2 linked regions of the Neodiprion lecontei genome follow. The protein of the gene in region 1 purifies or fractionates together with the protein of each later gene. This does not show direct contact. Links are inferred from orthologs where the notes say so. Each region holds a gene or a part of one and is shown on either strand. Other genes may lie near its edges. The genes, in order: U6 snRNA-associated Sm-like protein LSm1 and protein PAT1 homolog 1.

The links.
Region 2: the proteins of U6 snRNA-associated Sm-like protein LSm1 (region 1) and protein PAT1 homolog 1 purify together in Homo sapiens (co-immunoprecipitation; 3 studies listed by BioGRID and IntAct, with this or other methods). This does not show direct contact. The link is inferred for Neodiprion lecontei from reciprocal best matches to the Homo sapiens genes LSM1 and PATL1.

What each region holds. Positions count from the first base shown.
Region 1 is NC_060265.1:26,284,280-26,290,461, forward strand, and holds U6 snRNA-associated Sm-like protein LSm1, read left to right. Parts: upstream 1-2,816; 5' UTR 2,817-3,213; coding exon 3,214-3,259; intron 3,260-3,411; coding exon 3,412-3,596; intron 3,597-3,703; coding exon 3,704-3,877; 3' UTR 3,878-4,060; downstream 4,061-6,182. Other genes in the region: uncharacterized protein LOC107218892, read right to left, coding at 1-88, 727-795; uncharacterized protein LOC107219128, read right to left, coding at 4,528-5,295, 5,493-6,182. UniProt on the Homo sapiens protein: Plays a role in the degradation of histone mRNAs, the only eukaryotic mRNAs that are not polyadenylated. Probably also part of an LSm subunits-containing complex involved in the general process of mRNA degradation.
Region 2 is NC_060263.1:35,074,297-35,081,488, forward strand, and holds the start of protein PAT1 homolog 1, read left to right. Parts: upstream 1-3,113; 5' UTR 3,114-3,228; coding exon 3,229-3,267; intron 3,268-4,015; coding exon 4,016-4,213; intron 4,214-4,454; coding exon 4,455-5,025; intron 5,026-5,134; coding exon 5,135-5,238; intron 5,239-5,516; coding exon 5,517-6,028; intron 6,029-6,132; coding exon 6,133-6,346; exon of another isoform or gene 6,347-6,347; intron 6,348-6,419; coding exon 6,420-6,635; intron 6,636-6,737; coding exon 6,738-7,001; intron 7,002-7,089; coding exon 7,090-7,192. UniProt on the Homo sapiens protein: RNA-binding protein involved in deadenylation-dependent decapping of mRNAs, leading to the degradation of mRNAs. Acts as a scaffold protein that connects deadenylation and decapping machinery.

The sequences.
Region 1 (6,182 bases):
TCCTGCAGTTCGACGGTACGTCGGCGTAGTAACCAGTCGGGCGGCCGGCGCAGGTGAAGTTGGTATTAATTGGCTGCGCCGTCGTATTCTGCGGGCATTAAGATAAAGCAGACAATTTTCACATCCAAGTCCGTACTCACAATCGTACCGCATACTGTCAGAGGTCATTGCGGCAATTACGCTGCCTCATTACCTCCACGCATGAATAAGAAGCGGAGGCAGTCTCGAGTTGCGCAATTCTACATGCCTACGTAGCCACAAAAAGCTAAAAGTCACTGTATTTCATTTTGAAGGTCCTCTGCTTTGTCTACGCGACTACGGGCAGCCTCGAATGCAGCAGTCGCACTCAAGATGCAAAAATCGGTATGCAAGTCCGTGTTCTCTCCGGACAACAAAGTTGAAAATCGACCAACGTTTAGAGAAAAAAAGTCCATAAATAATATCGACCAAAAGTCTTACTCGTTCGAAGTAACCGGTGATAATTGGCTGCTGGATTTATTACAGTTTGAAGGAATTTATACCTATGTAATCATAAGTCATAATTACTTTAACTTGACGGACGTACTTAAGATCGGTACAATAAAAATATGCGTAAAACCAATCGTGCGTTTTTAAAATAACTTCAAACAGCGAGTTTAATAACTGTTGATGTTTATAAAACGACACAGTAAACTTTGGATAACTTTAATTTAGAAAAAAATTAACAGGAGTAAGATAGTAACTCACGAAAAATTTTTGGAGCTCTGCAGCGGTCAGGGTGATTACGACAAACAGAGTAAAAACGTCTCCCGCCATGTTGTGGAAAAGCTTGAATCGGCCGCGAGCGATTCGATTCAGAGCCGAGTATCCACTTGGACCGTAATACCGGCGAACGTACGGCCAGGCAATCTCGATGGTAACTACCAATTACATTGTCTATGGATCGTAGGATCATCCGCTGGAAGGCCTTTGCCTGGCTTGCCGAGATGCGCCGGGAGTGAAAGTAAGAGCGATATACATATACAACATATCGTAGGATGAAGGAGTCAACGCCGGGCACCACCTACTTTACTTTTGTCAGGATTTCACACTTGTCTCGCGCCTTCGGATCCGGGGACCAAAACGTTTTTATGCAACAGACGAAAGGGCGTTACAGCGGAGCAGTTTTACAATTAATCTTGAAATCAGCGCAGTTACGGCGCGCTTCCGAATCAAGTACAGCAGAAAAAAATTCTATAAGATATAGATTTATTTCACCTTTCCGGTACAACGCAAGGTCGGCATGCCCAAGTTTACGTCCCGTGACACTGGTACCTGTACATTCCAATGTGTCTATACCCGTGATTTTGTGATTCGTTATTTTCTATCATCCTATTGCACTATTACGATATCGAGAGAATTCTGTATTAGGACGGGAGTAACACTATATTTTCAAGGCATGATGGATCGGACACGGAAATACGAAACAAAATTTACGCATCGAGTTACGTAAAAGCTTACATGTGTACGTATGTTTATCCTTGACATTATAAAATACTTGAGCATGATTGGCAATCAGTAAAAGTCACTGTATCTGTAAGATTCCTTGAGTCATTCTAGCATTGTGTTTGTTTTGAGCTCTATAATGTAACAACGCAGGCCACTGCACGCAGGCAGATGTATATTTGCGTCATACGTTCGCAGATTACGCATTGTTTATAGAAAAGCAAAATATTTGGGAATAAAATCGCATATACAATTCAATCGCAGGCTACCGAAAAGGGAGGGATACGTCAATTTTTTTCCCAAATATATTGGGGCTGAGTTCGCGTAATTGCGATGTATTCTGCATTTTCTTATATACATTTTTGGTTCAATCACTCTGACGCATCGTTCCTCAAGGTCATGGCCAAGTAGTTAATTACTCCTGGAGCAATATTAAAAAAGAAATAATCGATACAAAATTGAAATGTCAAGAATGCCTAGCCTCTTGTCACTAAAGGACACTTGGTCGAATTACCATACAACTAAAACAATGTGTATATCTTCTCAAATCAAGTAGGTACCTTGATCCCAATCAAATTAATCACACTCGATATATTCTAAATGAAATCGGTCCTGGAAAAAGTGATATTTACAAATGTCTTTGAATAATTACTTGAACGCGAATTCTAAAGTTAGGATAGTACAGTAAATCCTCAATTATCCAAACCATGACTTGATTTATGCTTAATTATCCGGACGTTGACTAAAAAAATATATTTTTAGCGTGAAATATACAACGTTGGTCGCTAAAAAATGTGTAGCAGCCGTTCTTTAATTGACAATGGACGACTATGTAAAACCAAAGTAATAAAATAAGCGTTTGGTGTTTGAAAAAGGTTCTATACGTACTTAGATGTTTAATGCAGACTGCTTGACGATTGAAATCAATTATACGAACTAGGCTCATTGTCAGTCCTAATTAATTCGGATAATCGAGGTTCTACTGTGGCTGTCGAACAAAGTACTATTTTTAGGCATTTTTTGGCATTTTTTGGCGAGCCATTGGTACAGGTACCAAAACTTACCAAAGTATAGTTTACGTGACACACAATATCGTTCCGGTACACCTTGGTTCTTATACCAGTGGATCGGCAAAAAATGCCTTTTATTGCGGATTTGAAACTGATCAATGTTGCTATCGTTCTGCAATAATCCGTCCTCTTCCTACGTGGATGATGTCAATATTTTCCGACCTTCCTAAGGTATATATTAATCCGATAGATGTAATTTGTTACTTTTGGTTTTAATTTAATCGCTTCAGGGGGTTTCCCACTTTAGCTGCTCACAGCGTTCCACACGTCATACAGGGCGTGTTCGGAAATTGACTGAAAGTTCTGTCAGTACTGAAAACGGTTTAGTCCAAGTGACGTATACTGTAGATTTTCATTACTGACAGTACGGTCAGTCAATTACCGAACACGCCCACAGTTGGTGGAAATCGGAAATCATCGTTGAGCATTTTCGAATTTTTCGTAATTTGAAGATTGTCGAAGTTTGTCAGTAGAGACATCTCTGTTAGAGAGGAACAGACGGAAATGTCTGTCGCCCCAGTGAGTTCGTCATTGCCCTGAGTTTTGCCTAACGTTATGTACATACGGTACATACCTACGTGTGTGAAGGCCGGCGTTGTTACTTGTGGGGTACAACGCATCAGCGAATCGGTAGCTGAGTAACCAGTCTTTGATTTAATTAATATAAAATCTCTGAAAAATGAACGTAGTGCCCGGAACAGCGTCCCTCCTCGAAGAACTAGACAGTACGTTTGATGTAATTAGTTGGAAACCGTTAGTTCTAGCGATTTATCGAAATTTAGGTTATGTTTACACTTAACCATAAATGTAAATATTTTGATTAACAATTACACCAGTAACACCAGATAAATTAATCACGCCCGAACCGTTCGTTTAGAAAAGCTAATGGTTCTGTTAAGAGATGGTAGAACACTTATCGGATATCTCAGAAGTGTTGATCAATTTGCCAACCTGGTCCTTCATCGAACTATCGAAAGAATTCACGTCGGCAAAGAATATGGAGATATTCCTCGGGGCGTTTTCATCGTCCGAGGCGAGAATGTTGTTCTCTTGGGTGAAATAGTAAGCACTCAATTTTTTTATGCTCAGCAAATCAATATTTTTAGTCTTCCAGCTCTGTACGCTGGCGCAAAAGTCCTGCACTATAAACTTACTGAATTTCACCTCAGGATGGGGACAAGGAAAAGGATCTGCCACTATCTCAGGTGCCCGTAGATGATATATTAGATGCTCAAAGACGAGAGCAAGAATTGAAGCAAGATCAAGAACAACTGATGAGCAAAGCTCTGAAAGAACGAGGCCTCTCCTACATTCCGGATTTGGGGCATGATGACATGTTCTGACCCACATCTATTCCTACAACAAGTTCATTTTCGTCATCCTCGTCATCACATAAGTCTGACTGAATGTTCAGAGAGTTGTTCAATTCTGTGAAAGCAAAGGGAAATAGGTGAAAGAAAAACAACAGACAATTGTTATACATAAGGCGTGCGCTATAATATGAAAATATATTATTGATACACAGATCTGCCGGTACGAATGAATCTCGAAAAATCTGTTATTCTACCTCTTTTTTTTTATACAAATAGTTATAATGAACTGTCACGAATTTCGTTCTTGGCTCATTCAGAATGAAGAATATTTTTAAATATTTAAACCCACAACATTCATCATCGTCATTTACAACTAATATGATAAAAACTTAGCATATGATTGAAGTCTAGTACAAATATCACGTAGCAAACTATTTGCTATACATTATACAAAAATTTCGCACAGAATTCGTATTCGATATCAAACTAATACGATTTAATTGTTTATAGACAGCTCAAAATTACGTAAATAATAATAAAAACTGCTTAATAATTTAAACAAATGAAAAAAACACATTAGGTAAAACTGTAACAGTGTTCAACGCAATTTTTACTACACAATGAAGTGTCGTAAAAGTAGGTTTGAACATTAGATTCAATGTATATACTATAATTCCACTTTAAAAAGAAGTCTCTTGTAATGTTTCCTTCGCTTTTAGTGGTTTCAGTGTAGATTCACTCAATTGTTTGTTCCATAGAGTTTGAAATTTCAATTCATTTGTAACCTTTTTGTCAGTGACAGATTTTTTAGAATCGTCACGCTGGAGATTCGTTCCCCTTTTTCTTGGTGATTGGTTAATAACCTCATCAATTTTCTCTGGAGAGTTACTGACACTGTTGGTACTACCAGAAACTATGCCAGATGTATCGGAACTAGGTTGATTTCCATCTAAGCAATGCAGAAGACTATCGGATAGTCTATCTTCGTTAAGAATATTTAAATCTGACTCAGATTGGTCAAAATCGTCAGTACGAGACGTGAAACTTAAGTCAACAGGACTCGCAGTTAGTACGCTTCGTGATAATAGATATTCTCGAAATGTACTTGATATGGAAACGCTACTTGCCTCAATTATTTCGTTACAATATTCGTCTTCTATTGAGGTCACAAAATTTCTATCCTCATTTAAATTTCCGAAGTTTTCTTTGGTCTCTGTATTACCTTGATTGTCAGTTAGTACCAACTCACCACTCATACTGTCTATCTTTTGACACTCTTCCAAAATGGATGTACAACTTTTTTTCTGTGTAAGATCCAAGTTTGGTCTTTGAATGTTCGAACCAGAACTGCATGGTGTGCATCCGTTATTTAATGTTGCAAGATTGCATAAGTTTGACCCAGAGATCATCATCACTGGTTTTCTTGAGCGTGGAGTCATCATAGTTTCCTGTCAGAAGTTTCAATTAATTTCGATAAAATTTTCATGACTTCTTCATTTTTACGTTTTGAGATTACCTTTTTATATCGAGTAGTAGCGGACATGCGGTTTAACCAAATGCAAACAATGAGCACATAAATAGAAAATAGACACGTAAAAATGACGGGATGAAGAGTGAAAACAGAAAGTGCAGAATACATGCATACCTGCATAGCTTTACTCATCTTCGTCGTGCTTTGAGTAATTGGGCTCATGCTTTTGTCGTGGTATGCAATGGGCGTCAATGTGCATTCATTAGCTGTAGCAGCAGCAGTAGCAGCAGCTAGACTTTTTCGTAATAAATTCTTAGCTGGTGTCGATGTACGTGCCGTATATGTGTTGCAGAATCTACTCAATACTGTTGAAGCTGAATAGCTTGATGTTTCAGAGACTGAAGTTTCTGTCTTTTGTGGAGAAATTTCAGATTGTATATCAGGCATAGATTTCCTGGGAGGAAAAACCACTTCTATGTTGGGTCTTCTTCTTACAGGAAATATCGGGTCTGAATTTTGCCTCACGAATTCGCTATCACTCATATTAGAGGCAGCCTCTGTCGAATAACTCTCAGGTTCACTTAATTGGCGTGAAAATCGTAGATTTTTTGAGGTATTAATATCTCGCAAGTTGGAAGCTTTGCTTTGCAATTTTAATGGACAGCTATTCTTGTCTGATTCACGTTGACTGCAACTTTCCCTGACCGTTTCTGATGATTTATTTATTGGAGCGTTTTCAAATTTTTTGACGCTTTTCTCTGCGCTAATATTTATAAAATTCGCAAGCAGCATTTTCTTCTTTGACTTGCAATGCCCCAGATTAGACGTGTTCAAGCTCCCTGTGCTGCTGCTTATATGCTTTAC
Region 2 (7,192 bases), on another chromosome or scaffold:
TTATACCCAAATGAAATTTTTTAACCTGTTTCCGGGGAAATTATTTTTTATCTTTTCACACACCCTAATAAATATGCTCCTCCTAATAGGCGATTAAAATTTAAGTAATAAGAGTATAATGTGTTGTTGAATTGATCGACGCGCATGTTCGTGTATAATATACATATAGGTATAGTAGATATTTATTGCGCAATATAATAAAATAGTAATATAATGAAACATATTTATTTTTTAATTTGAAGTCGCAATATCAGAATGTTGTTAAATAATTATACAAAATATCTATGAATATATATTATATACATATAAACTTAATGTATGTATATTACGGTTACTTAATTGTTTAAAGACGTTATCATTGTTTCGATTATTATTTTTGTTATGATTACAATGATATAGCAATATATGACTTCGTTCATAGAAAAAGACAAGACAACCTAATAATCATAATGAAACTAAATAAATGAATATATAAGTAAATAAATAAATGAATAAATAAACAAATAATCATAACCGTTTAACCTCACAGTACAGGGGTAAAAGCGTAGAAAAGTTCTAAAAGAGCTCATATACGTACACGTATAATTCACGATATAAGACATATTTTCTAACTAATAAAAATCAACCTGCCCGCGACGCTGCAAAGCTATTAACCTCTAACTCACGCTCCACGTCGTAAATCACTGCACGCGAGACTGTAAAACTTGATTGATACTCATTGATTGAAGCAGCGGAAGACTCTAACGTAAACAAGAAAAAAAGAGTTGTAGAAAAACTTGAACGTATAAGTTTAAAATACTGCTTTAAAATTTCAAATATACGATCCCCACTCTGGACATATACTGCATGAGAGATAAACGAATTATTAAAAAAATTAATTTCAATTGCAAAGCACATACAACGTTGTTACTATCAACGGATTCTGGTCAATCGCAAACTAATAACTATGATATCTACGTAAATAATTATCTATGAACTAATTTAGATATACCATATTATTACTCGGCAAATTAGCGAGTTTTTCGGGGAACAAAACGACGGGCGTATTTCCTCTTGAATTAAGTATACATATAGGTATATAATATAATGCCGAAACGATATATTAAACTAATGAAATAATACCAAATACCCGTAAATGTTGACGATATAGTGATATTACGTATTTAATCGGTATACGAAACGAGGCAAATTAGATATAATTTATCGTTGAATATTATAGGTAGGAGGAGTCGAAATACTTATGACGAATAATTTTCGACCTAGGTAAAACTCTGTAACTTCCAAATTAGGGTTGGAATGAAAATAGCTTATTGGGTTCTTGGTAAAATTGAATTGATTACCATCGTTATGAGTTTGACAAAAAAAAGAACCACTTCCGGCATAAAGAGGACAAAATTACTTTGAAGTAACACCTTTCGCCAGTGTCCAGGCGCGGGACAAGAATTCCAAATTCTCTGATTATATTAAGCATCGTGCCAACATTATTCGCCTGATAATTAAACAATTTTTCTGAAAATCTCGAATAATTTTTCATTGAAAGACAAATTAACTTATCATAAATTAAAATTATTTTATAAAATTAATTATGTTTTAACGGATAGTTCGAAGAGAAAAGTCATATGCGGAGTCATACCTAAACTATCGTATGAATTCAAAACCAAAAAGAGAGAGGAAAAACAAACAACCGGTATACACAAATAAACAGCCTTTCCCAATTATGGCCGGACAATTGTTCTCGTAGAATCCTTTATTTCATCGCAGAAGTAAGAATTGACTCCTCGGTTGTGTTTCCGCATACTCTTCGTATCGTCAATGTTCTCACAATCAGATATTGTTCAGATTGTAAATTCTTCTTTTCTATGGTTTGCCAAAAACATTTTTTTGTACTTTTATACAAGAAGTTGATTTGAAATATCGGGAAGGCTGATTTGAAGCTCAGATTTCGGATTGTTCAATTATATGAATAAAACAAATAAGTATAAACTGTCTGTATCTATAAATATAGGTATGTGATTTATTATCACGGCAATGTATGCACAATCAGTCAAGAATACAATGAATCACACTCGCACGTATATAGTCTGTATGATGTATGTACAAGCACAATACCATGTTGACTAAAGAAAAGTTTAAATGAAATGTTGATAGTACTTTTAAAACAAAAGTATAAAAATTATATCACGTATAACATTCGCAACGTTACTCTAAGCACACCGTAATAAAATAAATTGACGAGTTTTATCGTTGTTCTTGTTTTAGACCGAACAAGTGTAGATAAATTATACCTCGATTAAGAGATAATAAAAGTGATTATTATAATGATGATAATAAAGGAGGATATCGTTTTGAAAAGTTAAAGCATATTTCTTACGAACCATCGCCAATGGTATTTGATATTTTTCATTTCCTGTATTGTGGCAATTCCGTTATCCTACAAATCGATGGTGACAATTTCAGGAAAAGCTAGGATGAAAAAAGATTTAAATCACTGACTTAAACGACGTTGATTCGGATATTTCAACTGTCATCACCGGGTAAAGCTCATATCATTACGGTCGGAGGCCGTAGTAACAGATGAGTTTTTCCCAAGTTTAGTCTTCGGCATTTTTCGGTGATAAACAAGTCAAGCAAACGTGAATTGAAACAAACACAGGTGAAAAGAATCCTGTACATTGGAAGAAAATTTCAAATTTTCAAAAATTTCGCTATAGTATATTTTTTCGTCTTCGTGGAACACTCTGCGAATTGACATAGCTAAACGTGAACCCGCCAGAACACTTGAATACTTTGGGATCCGTTCGGACTTGACTTCCGGTTTCATACCTATTACAGCGCTTATGCGTGGTGGAAATCGGAACTATCGGAGAGGGCAATAGATAGACGTAATATGTATAATTTTGAGGTAGCACTCGATATTCCTTCTTATTAGCGTACTTTGGGCCATGAACAAATGATTTGATTATCGTATTTCAAATTTCGTACCATTCTCTGATTAACGTGGCAAATAATCAATGGCATCTATGAAATGAGAGGTTGAAACACTGGTTGAAAACGCGGCTTCAGGGACAGTGAATTTGACCCATCGCGATGTGTTGCGTTCTCTGACGGGGAATACCGAAAGCCTGTCGGGAAGTCCGTGGTTAGTCGTGACCGCCATGACAGCTGATGTCTTTTCCAGCGCTTGACGTTTAGTCGGATCATGACATTTTGCGAATTTAATTTTGACAAATGGCAGACTCTTTTTTCGGATTTGACACATCTCTCGCTGTAAGTTGTATTTGGCTATATTATTTCTCGTTAAATTTGTTCGGAATTTTCCTTCGATTGGAAAGGTATCGCCGATGGGAAACCCTTGATTTTTTCGCGTTTCGACCGCGTCGCGGTACAGCATGGATCGAAAATTTGTTATTTTTATAGCATATCGCGCGGCTAATGCCTTTTATGATATTTCACGTCGACGTTTCACAATCTCTCATCCTTCTTACGCTCGCATGTACGGAAATTACGCTAAACATTAACCCTGCACCAGCCGAGATGCAAACAACGTTTTCACGGATGTGAACTCTGATACGGCCACGAATGTACTATACATAACCTAAGTCTTTCATTATCCCCGCCCCGGAAAGGTCAATAACATTGAATGTCGCTAACCGTGAAAATTTCATCAAATCTCGCAAGATTTTTCTGAGAATTTCAGCGGCTTCCAAGCTCAACCGTCAGCCATAACTCATAGGTTATGTTTCTATAATTTCGCACGTACAACAGTTTCAAAATTAATTTGTCAACTCAGTAAGGTGTCTCTGTTTGCACTTCAATGCTCTGATCTCTTTTTCTCATTCAATATTTATTTGTTGAAACCCAGAGTTCCAATTCGTCAAAATACCAAGTAATATGATCTCGGGTTATTTGCAAAATATAACATCCGATATTACTGGCACGTTCAATCTATTGCATGTGTTCTCTACTGGATTGATGAATGTTTGTCATTTGTTGTATGATTCCTCAAATTTAACAGGGTGATGGCCTAGAAGATGGATTTGATGGACCATTGGAAGATGAAGATATTATTGGTGAAGAAGATGAATATGATGCATTGAACGATGAAACATTCGGAGCGGAAGCAACAGGTGGAGATTGGGAGCAAGATCATGAGAAATTGGCCCGAATCACCGAGTCCTGTAGACAGCAGCCGCCCAGCTTACCTTTGCACCGGGTTTGTAACTGCTTGTCTTGGGCAAGATTCCGCAAAATTTAAGATTTTTTACAAGCAGTCTACTTTTCAAGTTTAATGATTGATTTTAATCTTGTATGATACACAGATTTGTTATTTTGCCCCGATTTGGAATACAAAAATTCAGATTGTTTTATTATATATTGCATTTACTGGATAGTTCAATTATTAAAATCAAGATTGATGCAATTTAAAGCACAATATTTTATTCTTTCATTTTTAGAATGGCATTGAAATAGATATCGAAGATAGCTTGTCACACTTGGTACTAGATGATAGAGATGGGACAACGCCACGACCAGGTGTTTGGGACAGCCCAACGAGCTTTCCTATGCCCAGAATTCAACAGCGTCCTTCGATTTCATCTACCCTTAAAAATGTCTGCACTGTTGAGGAATTGGAGCGAGGTCTCATCGCTAGTAGACCGCCTCCAGGTCTTGCTAAACCTCTACCTCCTCAACTGCATCTACAACAGCACCATCAACAACAACAACAACAGCAGCAGCAGCAGCAGCAACAGCAGCAGCACCATCATCAACAGCAACAGCAACAACAATTACACTATCAGCAACAGCAACAACAACAACAGCAGCAGCAGCAGCAACAACAACAACAACATTCATCAGGTGGACCATTCTTGTTCGATTCCGTACCATTGGGTGAACTTCAAATGAAAGGCCTACCACCTCCTCGTTTTCCCCCAGGATTAGGCCTTCCAGGTCCTCGTGTCATCTTACCTCCTCAAGTGAGACCACCACCACCTCAGTTTATGCAGCACCACAGACTGCTTCCTAGTGAGTAGAACCATCTATATATTTTCAAGCATTTTCATTATCATGTTGGTAAAAAAATTTTGTATGTGAAACTTGACTGCTCCAAATCGTGTCTCAATGTTTTTTTCAGATCAACAAGGTAATATGCTAAGGTACCCTATGCCTCCTCATTTGATGATGCCACCAGGAGCTCAAAGGCAGCCTCCACCACCTTCATTTCGTAATAATTATCCTGTAAGTTATTCATAACATGAAAGAATACAGGTTTGCTACAAATCTGTAAAACTTGGAAAAGTCAAAAAGTTTTGAGTTCAGTAAGGTTTTGTTCTTGATATTGAATCTGAAAATAATATATAAATATTGGAATATTATTCATGTCAAAATTTGTAGCGATCCTAAAGTAACGAAAAATTTCTCATAAAGATTAGTTCGTGAGTAGTTGAGAGGAGTGAAAGCAAAGAGAAGGAGTAATGTAACACCTGAAATTGAAGTGGTATTTGTTTTACTTTTAGCAACCACCTTATCCAGGACTCCCTCCACCTCAATTACTGCGTCCTGAACAAACGATGATGCCGCCATTTGCTAACAATCAAATGAACCATCATCAACAGCACTCTCCCCATTCAGGAAATCAGCGAACAGTTCAGAATAATCGACCGTTCCATTCCAATGACCAGCCATCTGGTCATCAACCACCTACTCACCAGCCATTTTTCAAAAACAATCAATACCCTCATCATAATCACAACCGAAATAATCAACGGTATCATCAACAGCACCACTATCAAGGTATGAATGGATCGAGTGGTCCAATGGGTGACTACGATGAGTACGCCGGCCTTATGAGTAATCGTGAGAAACAATGGCTGATCAACATCCAGCTGTTGCAACTGAACACCAACCAGCCATATGTCGAAGATTATTATTACACTGTATTTTGCGACAGGCAAAACAAACTAAACGAAAATCAGGAACACAAGGACAGAAGGCATCATAACAACAATGGCCACCATAGAGATTCCAGGTAGATATACTCGATATTTTTTCGACATGCAAACCAAACAAAGCTCATAAATTCGATAATAATATTTTATTCTCTAAATGTCAATAATTTGTATATCACAACAGGGATAGAGATCAGCAACAACATATACTGACAAAGGTAGTTTACACGCCCATGCAGTTTGAAAATTCGCTTGGTAAGCTTCAATGTGGTAGTGTGACTGCTCCTCGCAAGATAATTGACATGGACGTGGTTCCAAACAACGATCCTCAGCAAGCACCACATTCACAACAGAAAGACTCGAAAAAAACACGTCAACTTCTACTAGAGATCGAAAGAGTAAGTTTGAAATGTTTACAATTATTCAACATCATGTTTCAACTAGTTATTCTCTTTGTTCTTTTTTTTCCAGTTGTACACGTTGCAGTTAAAGCTCGAAGATCTGACTAATCCTTTAGCTCTATTAGCAGCAGCTGAACAGCAACACCAACAACAGCAGGAAGGAGAAGGAGAAAAGAAACCAATCAAAGAGTCCAAAGTTGAACTGATTGGCAAACTAATAACTTCGTTTCTGCAAATATTGCGAAATGATAAATTAGCCGCTTTGCTCAGCATTCGCAAAGGAAAGGTCAGTATTTACATGAAGGGTCTAGTTTAACACTGTAGAGTAACAAACGTCATACATCGATTGACAAAATGGTCCTTTATGTGATCGGAAAATCAATTGCAGATGTTGTTACTTCGACTGCTGCCACACATGAGCGTAACTGAATACAGCTCTCAGCTAGGCGATCTGTGGACTGGATTGGTTCGCGGATTGGTAGTTATAGGACGCAGGGATTCTCATTTACTGACAAACTTTTATCCTGAATTTCGAAGGTGGTTACATACCATAACTGATTTCGGCTCTGTTTTACGCCTAGCGAAGGCATTGGTTGAGTCAGCATCTCTACCACTAAAAAACAACAGCCTAGCATTTGCTTTAACAAACAAGGTTTGTACCATTTTTGACTCGCAATTTCTCGTCTGATCGTTACATATTTACAGTGGTTTTAACTTAATTTGGTTTATTGTCACTGCAGTTTGGAGTATCGGTTATAGCCTCGGTGTTAGAACAAGCTGAAACATTATCTCCAGTTGAGGATACGATGGCTGGCGATTGGTCAACTTTTGTTATGACACTAG